Diceros bicornis minor: one gene and its partners. The protein of the gene in region 3 interacts with the protein of the main gene of each other region in a biochemical or structural test. Links are inferred from orthologs where the notes say so. Each region holds a gene or a part of one and is shown on either strand. Other genes may lie near its edges. The genes, in order: LNPK, DRD4 and KLHL12.

The links.
Region 1: the proteins of KLHL12 (region 3) and LNPK form a complex in vitro, tested with the Homo sapiens proteins (2 studies listed by BioGRID, with this or other methods). The link is inferred for Diceros bicornis minor from reciprocal best matches to the Homo sapiens genes KLHL12 and LNPK.
Region 2: of the proteins of KLHL12 (region 3) and DRD4, one has a biochemical effect on the other in vitro, tested with the Homo sapiens proteins (2 studies listed by BioGRID, with this or other methods). The link is inferred for Diceros bicornis minor from reciprocal best matches to the Homo sapiens genes KLHL12 and DRD4.

What each region holds. Positions count from the first base shown.
Region 1 is NC_080749.1:56,664,022-56,667,767, reverse strand, and holds the start of LNPK (endoplasmic reticulum junction formation protein lunapark), read left to right. Parts: upstream 1-1,531; 5' UTR 1,532-1,740; intron 1,741-1,968; exon of another isoform or gene 1,969-2,077; intron 2,078-3,746. UniProt on the Homo sapiens protein: Endoplasmic reticulum (ER)-shaping membrane protein that plays a role in determining ER morphology. Involved in the stabilization of nascent three-way ER tubular junctions within the ER network.
Region 2 is NC_080770.1:1,341,579-1,345,324, reverse strand, and holds the start of DRD4 (D(4) dopamine receptor), read left to right. Parts: upstream 1-1,030; coding exon 1,031-1,300; intron 1,301-2,815; coding exon 2,816-2,928; intron 2,929-3,016; coding exon 3,017-3,746. UniProt on the Homo sapiens protein: Dopamine receptor responsible for neuronal signaling in the mesolimbic system of the brain, an area of the brain that regulates emotion and complex behavior.
Region 3 is NC_080777.1:30,938,721-30,942,466, reverse strand, and holds the start of KLHL12 (kelch-like protein 12), read left to right. Parts: upstream 1-1,334; 5' UTR 1,335-1,433; intron 1,434-1,503; exon of another isoform or gene 1,504-1,682; intron 1,683-3,117; 5' UTR 3,118-3,156; coding exon 3,157-3,351; intron 3,352-3,746. UniProt on the Homo sapiens protein: Substrate-specific adapter of a BCR (BTB-CUL3-RBX1) E3 ubiquitin ligase complex that acts as a negative regulator of Wnt signaling pathway and ER-Golgi transport.

The DNA of each region.
Region 1 (3,746 bases), on a different chromosome or scaffold from region 3:
TTGTTTTCTTGAAAGTTTCTCTCACTAGTGTCAGTTGCCTTAGGGCAGCTGTTTTATTTATCTCTATATCTTCAGCACTTAACACAGGGTCTTGTCCTCAATAAATATTTGGAATGACCCCTGTGGCCTGTAGTCCAGCCTCATAGTACATATGTTGATTTCTTCGCTCGTTATGTCTTCCCTCACTGTGCCAGACAAACTCTTACCACTTGATGTAAAGGAGGTAGTGGTATAGTGTTACCTTCCACAAAACACATACTCTTTCTGCCTTCAGTTTCTTCTTTTGAAAAATGATACTTATCTTAAAAGGTTGTTGGGAGGATTAAAAGAGTCAATGATTCACCACTTCTCTCCCTCCCCTTGCCAGGCCAAATCTCTCCCCTTCTAGAGCAATTACCCAGGGAATTTTCTCTCAGGATTAGGTTTTTGGAATCTCTTGCACTTAGCTAGCTCTTCTCTGTGTCCCGGTTCCTGTTTTTTTCCCCCATACAATAGACCTTCACGGCTTAATTAAAACTAGAGAACAAGTCATTAGCAAGTGGAATATACTTCTTCCCTGTTCTCTTAGGAGAAGAGATCTTCCTGAGGTGAAGAGATGTATTTGCATAACTGCACAGGCCTTTTTTTTTTTTTAACTTTGAAATAGCAAAAGATGAAAAACAAAATGGTTAAATTTCCATATCAAAATAGGTGAAATCTCTCTTTTCATTTTCTTCTAGATTTATAAGGTGCCTGACCCAGAGTACACAAGAAATAATAAACTTTGGTTCCCTTTTCTTCATCCTTTCAAGTTTACAAAGCTGTAACTAAAGATATTAGCTGTTAGGACAAGCAACTCCACAGTGAATTATCTAGTAGCTTCCAGTATAGTAAATTGTTCTAACCAACTAGATACTACTCAGTTTCTTTTCTTACTTTATCTGTTTGCATTGTCAAAGTTTAAAAGCAGCATATTAAAAGGATTATACTCTTTAAAAATCATGCAAACTTTTTATTATTTAAAATGTGTATGTAACTAAAAAAAATTTTTAAATTCCATAAAAAATGTTTGCACACAAGGCTAAAACACGTCACAGGGGTAAAACATGACAAAAGCTTTTGCTGAAATTTCTCTTCCTTTCTCCAAGTTACCTCGTGGGGTTCAAGAATCATTTGTTATTTAGACTTGTCAGTCCCAGGTGTCTAGAAAACGATCTTTAGCCAATATTTCGAATCTGAGGCAAACATAGTCTGAGTGGTTTATTCGTGGGCCCACGTATCAGGACCTGTGAAGCGGGTGTTTTTGAGGTGAGAGTTTTAAGATAGAAAACAGCTTATGTTGTTATCCACGGTTTGAAATCAACATCAACTTCAAACATTTAAAGTTTACCACACGCCGGCGAGGTAAGCGTCCAGGCATCCAATGACCCTTTTTGACGTCACGAGTGATAAAAGCCTCAAGCACTCCTGGCTGGAGTCTACCCTGAATTTTCTCCACTGGCTTGTTTGGGAACTGGGTCTCTTCTAAGCTATGTCGTATTAACTTGCTCTGCTGCCGGCTGGATGACAGCTGCTCGGGGACTCTTCAGGACGGACTCCTTTCCAGACGCACCCACCTTCACCCTCAACCCCACTCTGCTCTCGCGGCAGTCTAGGACCACCAGGACCAATTTTGGGGTTTTCTTTCTCCAGCGAGACTTGGTACTGCAGGCTTGACAAGAAAAGAAGGAGGGAGAGGAAGAGTAAGAAGTAACTGCATTGGTAAGAGTCATAATAAACGGCAGTACATCTCCAAGACGCGGCGACCAGCACCGTATTTGGCTGCGGAGGCCATACGGACAGGCGCCCCCGGGCCGACCTCCCCACTCCCCCGCCCCAACTGCGCGCCCGAGTCACAGTCACGTGACGGGGGAGCGGCGCGCGCCGGCCGCGGCGCGGATTGGCCGGCGGCGGGAGCGCGGGGTTTGATGGGAAGGAGTTGGCCCGGCCCAGAGCTCTGTCAGTGGCGGCGGCTGCCTGCTCCGGAGGCAGGCTGCGCGGTGGCCGCCCAAGCTGGCTGGGGTGGACGCCAGCGCCGGGCTTTGCCCGCTTCTTGAAGGTAGAGCGCTCACAAGGAGGGCAGTTGGGAGGGCTCGGCAGAGGGGAGGTGCGCTGAGCTTTGCCGTGGGAGATACGCTCCCGGTTCCCCCCGCTTGCCTCTCCCGGGCGCCCCGCCCCATGCCGAGTGGCCTAGGAGCTCCGCGGCGCCGGCTGGTCAGACCCCTGCCCGGCTGCGCGTTGCGCCAGTGTCGCCGCCTGGTCCCCTTGATTATCCTGCACCGTGGCAGGGGTGGCTCTGGAGTGCTGGAGACTCCTTTCTGCCCCCGCCCCGCCACGGGGAGGTGGTTCTCCAGCTCGGTTCACGAAGATGCCGGGGGGGGGGGGGGGGGCGGGGGGTGTGTGACTGGATGGATCTGAGCATCGGCTCTTTGGCCCGCCTATGCCTAGGCGAAGGGTCAGAAGGTCCTATGCTAAGCTATCGCTTTGAGTGTTCTACCCGTCTCTTCTTTCTCTGAGTTTGTGCGGAGGCGCCATGAGTTGGAAAGATCTGGAGGGACCGAAAACTGTCAGTGTCATGCTGCTCGGCCCAGGCGTGTGGGCGTGGATTCTGTGCTGCTTTACAGAAGCCTCTCGACAACCGTGGTCCTTGTTTGAGGGACGGTGGGCGGCCTAAGGGGGATGGGGGGAGAGGGAATGGTGAGGGCATAGGTGGCATAAACATGGCAGGAGAAGAGCAAATCTAAACTACATCAATAGTTTTAATTCTTTAATATTGTGTATGGGGATTGAGAGAGAGTTGAGATTGGTGGACTAGTTTTGCTGATGGTGCCCTCACTGTACTAAGTAAAACCCATGACTCACTGAGTTTTGCATGTTCCCGTTTTCCCAGTTGGCTTCTGCTCTGTGGTCCCTTAGTGTCAACTGTGTTTTCTCCTTTCTCTATGGCTTGGGTGTCACCGTTGACAAAATTGACTGTATTCAACGGCGGTTTTTGTGGATGTGAGTAAGCTTGGTTTCAGGCATATGTTCACACTGGCAGGGAATGCTAATCTCTTGTCCTCAGCAGTCCCCATAGATCCATTTTAGGAGAAGCAAGTTGATTTTGAACACATTTTTTTAAAACAAGAGTGGTGCATTTAAAATTAGAATTTTAAGTTTCTCTGTCATCTACTGAGATCAACCCAATGCTATTAATAAACTTATATAGTGTTTCTATGTTATTAACTTGAAAGAGAATATAAGAAAAGGAAGAAGTTATGTAGCTATCAAACAGGTATGGTTTCATATCGAAATCTTTCTAATCAAATAGTCATTTTTTTGGAAGTATTTAGTTCAGAATGAGCATAGACTCACCATGAAGACCAGAACTTAACCATCATATAATAGAAGTGCTTTTAGAGGTGCTTCTTTATTGCTTTTTTTCAATAATTTTATTTTTGAGTAGTATGTGGTGGTTTGGGATATTTCAGAATTGCCTTTTCATTTGGGATATTTGAAAGTTAGAGTTCTACAACAGATCACTTTTAATCTTAAATTGAATGAGACAATATGTTGGAGAGGTACTGTTGATAGTGACTGAATAGTTTCTAGTTAAGTTTGGAACTTGAGAAACGTAAAACTGAACTTCCTTTACTGTTAAAGGCCTACAAGATTATTTTAATGGAAGAATCTGCAAAGTATTTTGCTTTATTTTTTATACTAGGGAAAATGAGAGCAATACAATTTCA
Region 2 (3,746 bases), on a different chromosome or scaffold from region 3:
ACACCAGTGTCTGAAGGACGTGCAGAACCACAGCGGTTGCTAAGCTTCCTGAGCGCTCCTCCCAGCCCTTCCTGTGTTATCTCATTTAAGGCTCTGGGAGGTAAGCACCAATTTCCCGGGCTCAGAGGGGCACACAACCTGCTCAGGGTCACAGGCTCCAAGGTGATGGAGCTGGGATGGGGGTTGACCACTCCATTGCCCACCCTGGAGGATGGAGGGTCAGGCAGTGGCTGCGGGTGGAGCGACTAAGCGTCGTCCTGGGTACCGGAGGAGAGGCTGCTTTGCGGGATGGGGTGCAGGGCCCTGCACTGGAGTCTGAGTCATTGCGGGGGTCGCGCCAGGGCAAGGAGAGATTGGGCGGAGTGGGGTGCAGCAGGGAGGAAGGGTGCGCACGGAGCTTGTACCTCACGCACCGCCGATCATCAGGGGCCCAAGGGGAAGGCGCCCGAGCGCTCGGGGCCTGTGGGTGGAGCCTGGGCTCGGGTCTCCTCGCGTCTGGCGGAACCGCCCTGAGAAGGATGTTCTTCCGAAGCCTCGTGAACAGGCTGGAGTTAGAAGCGGCCCCGCCTCCGCCTCGAGGCGCCTCCGGGAGCGTCCCTGAGGGGACACCCAGCTTGGGCACATACAGGGACCCGGGGGTCTCTGGGGCCGGCGGGATGGCGCTGGCGTGGATGTCTGTGCGCCTCGGAGTATGATCCGGCCGACCTTCTATCCCCGTCGGTTTCTTGGGGCGGAGATCCGCGCGTCCCCGCCAACCCTGCGCGGCGCGGGGCTATCCTGGGCTCGCCTGTGCCAATCACCTCGCTTAACTCGCATCTCACCGGGCCGTTGCATTTGTCCACCTGCAAAAGTCCAAGATGGACAAATACAGGGTGCCTCTTGGAGCGTCCCGGGGCCCACCGAGGGCGGGGCGGATGAGGGCGGGGCTAAGGCCGGGCGGGGGCGTGCCCGAGGGCGGGGCTCCCGGTTCGCGCCCTGGTCACTGTCCGCGGTGCTGAGCGCCCGCCGGGGCGCAGGGGGCCGGTGCGCCATGGGGAACCGCAGCGCCGCGGACGCGGACGCGCTGCTGGCTGGGCGAGGGCCGGCGGCGGGCGGCGGCGCGGGGACCCCCGGGGCGGCGGCGGCGCTGGCGGGGGGCGTGCTGCTCATCGGCGCGGTGCTCGCGGGGAACTCGCTCGTGTGCGTGAGCGTGGCGGCCGAGCGCGCCCTGCAGACGCCCACCAACTACTTCATCGTGAGCCTGGCGGCCGCCGACCTCCTGCTCGCCCTGCTCGTGCTGCCTCTCTTCGTCTACTCCGAGGTGAGCCCGCGGCCACCGCCGCACGCGCGCCCCTCACCTGCTCCTTCGTCCCCTGTGCCGGTCCACGCCGAGGACCCAGCGCGGCTCGGCCACTTGGCTTCTCAGGAACCTCGAGCTGGGCGATTGGAGGGGCGCTGCGCCGGGTCCCAGGCGGACCGGAGCCTCCCTCCCCTCCGAACCCCACTCCCCTCCCCCAACTCGCTGTCCATCTCCCTGCTTTGCTGTCTGTCTGCACTCCCTCTTCTGTCCCTTTCTTCTCTTCTCCCTCTGTCTTGGCGTCTGCTACCCAAGAGATGCCTCTATCCTTCAAGCCAGACATCCCAGAAACAGGCGACTTTGGCAGTCCAGCCACCTCTCCATCCCCTCAGCTGGGTTCTGATCCCCAGGAGAGCCAGCTGGACAGACAGGCAGATGCAGCCTTAGCCCCCGGCTCCCCCTGGGCCACAGAGACACACATCACTGCACGAGGCCACCAGGAGCACGAACACACCAGCTCGCCCCACAGAAGGAGCCCTCACTCATGCACAGACTGGGCCCCCAGCTGGAAGGATGCTAGCTGCCAGGAGCTGCCAGGCAGTAGGCATGGCTAGAGGGAGGGGACAACCTGGGGCGAGGAGCCTCCACCCCCAGACCAGGTCTGACCCTTGGGTGGGTCCCCCTTTGTGCCAGGCCCATCTGCTCCACAGTCTGGGCAGAGGGAAGCTGCTTAGGGCTGGGTTGGGGACACAGTGTCCTGGGCTGGGGGGAGGGGAGACTTGGTTTTTCTAAGGTGGACACTGAGTCCAGGCAGGGCTGGGGCAGAGGCTAGCAGGGCAAGGACATGCATGACCTGCCGCTCCCGGAGCTGCAGACAGACGTCACAGTGACGGCTCTTAAGCTCCTAATCGTCCCAAATCAGCGGGAGGGGATTTAGAAGGGGGGGCGGCTGTCTGCTCCTTTGCCCTTGGTGGGAGCGCTGGGCACAGTGCCGAGGCCTTTATATTTTTTAACTCATTTATCCTCAGGACAATTATGTGAGTACTGTCATCACCCTCATTTTACAGATGAGGGGACAGAAGTGAAGTGACTCAACCAAAGTCCCAGAGCAGTGGCAGAGTTTAACAACACAGGCTGGTTCCTAGCCATGGAAACAGGAGTGGTGGGCTTCATGCTCCAGGGTAGCAGGGCCCCCCTGCCCAGGTGGGGCCCCTGGGGCCCTGAGCCCATCATCAGATATCATAATCCTCAGGCCTGTCTCAGTTCTAACAGAAAGGAGACCTGGGGGTGTGTCTCTTGGCGCCTGTTCTGGGGAGGACTGCCGAGGCCCGTGGGTCGGGGCAGAGCCTGGGCAGCTGCCCCTGGTTCACCCCGGCTCCCTCCCCCTCTGATATTCAGCCTCTGCTCCCCAAAATAGTGGGGGTCAGAAAGACGGAGCGACCAGTGGCTGTGAGGGCTGCTGGCCTGGCCGTGGCTGGGGGAACGTCAGCGGGTCTTGTGTCTGTTGTTGCTGTGGCGTCCCCTCTCCTGGCGGCCCAGGTGCAGGGCGGCGTGTGGCTGCTGAGCCCCGGCCTCTGCGACGCGCTCATGGCCATGGACGTGATGCTGTGTACGGCCTCCATCTTCAACTTGTGCGCCATCAGCGTGGACAGGTGGGCCGCCCGCTGCCCCGCCTCGTGCCCCTGCGCGCGCGCTGCGCCCCCTCCCCTGTCCCCGCTCCGCTCACCGCGCTCCCCGCAGGTTCGTGGCCGTGGCCGTGCCCCTGAGCTACAACCGCCAGAGCCGGGGCGGCCGTCAGCTGGTGCTCATCGGCGCCACGTGGCTGCTGTCGGCTGCGGTGGCGGCGCCCGTGCTGTGCGGCCTCAACGACGCGCACGGCCGCGACCCCGCCGTGTGCCGCCTGGAGGACCGCGACTACGTGGTCTACTCGTCCGTGTGCTCCTTCTTCCTGCCCTGCCCGCTCATGCTGCTGCTCTACTGGGCCACCTTCCGCGGGCTGCGGCGCTGGGAGGCCGCCCGCCGCGCCAAGCTGCGCGGCCGCGCGCCCCACCGGACCAGCGGCCCCGGCCCGCCCCCCGACGCCACCCCGCCCCCCGGGCCGCCCTCCAACGCCATCCCGCCCTCCGACACCATCCCGCCTCCCTGCCAGCTGGCCCCCGATGCCACCGCGTCCTCCGACGCCACCGCGCCCCCCGGCCCGAAGACTCTGGACACCGCTGAGCCCCCCACTCTGTCGGCCCCCGACGCCATCCCGTCCCCGGGCCCACCGCCCCCTGATGCCACCGCACCCCCCAGCCCACAGACTCTGGACGCCACTGCGCCCCCCGGCTCGCTGCCCCCCGACGCCATCCTGTCCCCCGGCCCACAACCCCCAGGTGCAACCCTGCTCCCTAATGCCACACCGCCCCCCGACGCCACCCCGACCCCCGACGCTGTCCCAGCCAAGCCCCCGCTGCAGGCCCGCAGGAGG
Region 3 (3,746 bases):
AGATATAGAGGGAAAAATCTCCTTCCCACTGTCTCCCCACCAACCAGTTCCTCTCTCCGAAGAAACCAGTGTTAACACTTTATTTTGTATCTTTCCAAATGCATTTTATACATATACTAGCAAATACGAATATTTATATTTTGCCAACATTTTACACAAATAATGGCAAACTATACACACTGTTTACAACCTCACGGTATCGGATTGTACGGATGTACCATACTTTATTGATCCAGTCCCCTACTGATAGACATTAAGGTAGTTTTTAATCTAATCTACAAACGACCTTGCACACACATTATTTTATGAATGCACGAGTATATACGAAGGATAAAATTATAAAAATCGCTCAAAGGATATCTGCATTCATAATTTTGGTGAACTTTTCCAAAATGCCCCCAATAGAATTTGTACCAATCCTGCACTCCCACTCACCCTGTGTAAATCAGGGATAATGTTAGATCAGAGACAGATGATAGGAAATTTAGAAACACTAGGTAAAATTAGATTGCTATCCACTTGGCTATGGTTTTATTATCGCTAAAGAATCAAAGGCGTCACAGAGGAAAACAGTATAATCAAACACGATTAGTTTGTACGTTTACATCAGTTGAACCAAGGAACCTCATTCCCTTCCGAGCCTCTAAGAAAAGTGCGCCAAAATCGATTAGAAGCAAAAACGCTCAGCACCCATGAGCTAGCGAAAAGTCAGCAGAAGAGGAAGATGAGGACTACTGGGACTTCTAAGAAGACTCACAACGTCTAACCCCTGGTGACCACGAGTTCCTTCCACTTAATTGTCTGGGAGTGCAAGAGGCAGAGGACATGACCTCAGGAGTGACGACCGGCCCCTCGCGATGTGGAGAAGGCTGAGGTGAGCGGAGCGCAAGGCTCGGAGGATTCTCACCGCAGCGGTGGTCGCCTGAAAAGGGGCAACGCAGACACGGACTTGAAGCAATCTGAAGACCCGGGGGTTTTCTCGACGTGAGAAGGTTCCCGAACACCTGGCAGGTAGCACAGACTCCCTGCAGTGAACTCCTCAGCCTAGAAATCTGTGGGATCCTCTCAAGCGGCCTGCGTCGTGACCCCAAGAGTACCTCAGTCTCGGCCGCTCTCCAAGCGGGCGGGCCGCCCTCCGCCCACCTGCCGTTCGCTTCCTGTCCCGGGCTGGAAACCCGGGCCTGCGGGCACCGCGACGCCCCCCTCACGTGACGCAGAGGGAACGGAAGGGGCGGACCTCGTGCTGCGTACGTCATCAAGCTGCGCGGCCGCGGGGACCTGGTGACGGCTCCGGAGCCTGGGGCCGGGGTGGCGGTGGCGGCGGCGGCGGCGGCGGCGGCGGCGGCGCTTGGGCTCCACTTGGGCCCCCTGCTGGCCCCCAGCCTGTTCCCACGGACGAGGCGCGGCCGGCGCGGGGTGGGCCGGGAGCGGAGGTGAGTGCGCGGAGCCGGGGCCGCCGCCTCCTCCCGTCCCTCGACTCCAGCATGGGTGCTCCGCCCTCGGTCGGAACGGGAGAGATGCGCCCCGGGCCTCTGCCTGGGTGTCGGGGCGGAGACCGCCTTTCCCTCCCTCCTGCCTGGGGTTGAGCCTTCCCTGAGCTCGACACCGCTCCCCTCCCCGAGTCTCCTAGGGCGGAACCCTCGGATGTTCGCGCAAGTTCTAGAATAGATCGCCTCGGGAAGGTGAGGCGAGGCAGGAATCCCCGGGGAGGAGAGCCTGGAGGCTGCAAAGGCGGGTCATAGGCTGAGCCCTGCCATAATCCGCAGCAAGTCCTCACACTGCCTCAGTGTGCGTGTCTTAGACCTTCTTACCAGAGTTGAAACTAAGTAGGCTTAAGGAAAATCTTTTTGAAAAACGTCATCTGCTTTGATGAATCATCCTTTTCTGTAAAATGTATCTTGCACAGTTGTTGGAGGGATTACCTGGAGTGCTTGTAGGATAATATGCTAACTGTAAACAGGAGTAGATGAGAATTTAGGGTCTCGTTTTTACTATTCAAAAATTACCGTTGTGGGTTGTGGACTCTTGAAGAACGTCGTTTGATTTTTTTTTTCCCTTAGATCATTGAAGAAAGTTTGGATTCCAGATAAGATAGACTCTTAGTAACCACGGTATTTTACTCCCCAGAAATTGTGTTTGACGCAAAAAAAGAAAAAAATAGTGTGTCTAAAGCCTGTCAACAATCAAGAAAATACTTCTTAAATTGGTTTTTTGATACGTGATCTCTTACTGAGTTCATTTAGTTGATGCATACAAGTGAACTTTGCAAGTGACCAGCTATGGTAGTAAAATCAGTGGTGGAGTTTTGATAGGTTTCTATCCTAATGAGGCTCTCTGTTTCAGTATAGAAGAATTACTACAGCTGTTGATTTGTTAATGTTGATGGACATTTACTAATAAGATAGAGTAGGAAGACCCCCTCTATAGCAGAGCTTCAATAATGTGAGAGAAAGTCTGTGGATAAGCTTGCATGGTTTCCATTACTCAGTGTAGGTACCGGGTCTTCATTTGAAGTGTAATTTTAAGAAGAAATCCAGATATAGTTGGAAATCATCTTAAATAATTCCTTGCCTACTTCATTAGAAAAAAGTCCATTTTCAGTGACCCTTTATTGCTCGTAGTTGAATACACAATTTTTCTTTTGTTGCATTGAACTACTAGACATTCATTGTACACCTGCTAGCGTAGAAAAAATATGTAAAACGGGATCCCCATCCTCTACGTACGTACGTACTTAATCTTATGGATGGATGTTAAATAATACTGATATCACACTTTTAAGAAATTTTATCTTTTCATCATTTTATCATTTGAGACAACAGCCTTGTAAAGATGCAGGACATGTGAAGTTTCTGTTTGCAATACAGTTGAGTATTGATTATAATAAATGTCAAGTGGTAGGTGTGCTCAGTAATAGCAGAATTCAGAAGAAGAAGAGATCCTTTTTACTTGGGATAGTTAGTAGCTATATTGTGGCGGTAATGCCAGGAATAGCAGTGTTCTCTACTGGTGGGTGTTTGGGTCTGAGGAAGCCTCCTTAATTTGTAAAGCTAATTGAATATATTCAGTCTCCCCAGTCCTTCAGATATGCTCATTTTTTTTTTTTTGTACTTGTAGAATCCAAGGACACCTTTCATTCCTTCTCCATATTGCTTGATGGGAGGCACTATGGCCCCCAAAGACATAATGACAAATACTCATGCTAAATCCATCCTCAATTCAATGAACTCCCTCAGGAAGAGCAATACCCTCTGTGATGTGACATTGAGAGTAGAGCAGAAGGACTTCCCTGCCCATCGGATTGTGCTGGCTGCCTGTAGTGACTACTTCTGTGCCATGTTCACCAGTGAGGTAAGTGGTAAGTTATCCCCTCACAAATGACAGTCACACATGTAACCTTGTAATTGCCTCATTTTACTGAATAAAACGGTAGAAGTTTGATGTAGTAGTGAATTTCTATAGTATGGTGGTTAAATGGGCAGGCTCTGGATAAGATCTGCCACTTGGCCATGCCTTAGTTTCCTCATCTCTACGTGGGATAGTAGGAATGCACAATAACGTGGTTATTGTGACGGTTATTTGAGAACATTACATATAAAGTGCTTAGAACAGTGTCTAGAATGTGGTAAAACACAAATGTCAGCTATTGGATTTTAGTTACTGTTTTTAATTTTGTTTTCCTGTTTTGCTCCTTCTAACGTTTAATATTTTAAAGTGAATACCAGGGGGATAGAGAGGAGGGAAGG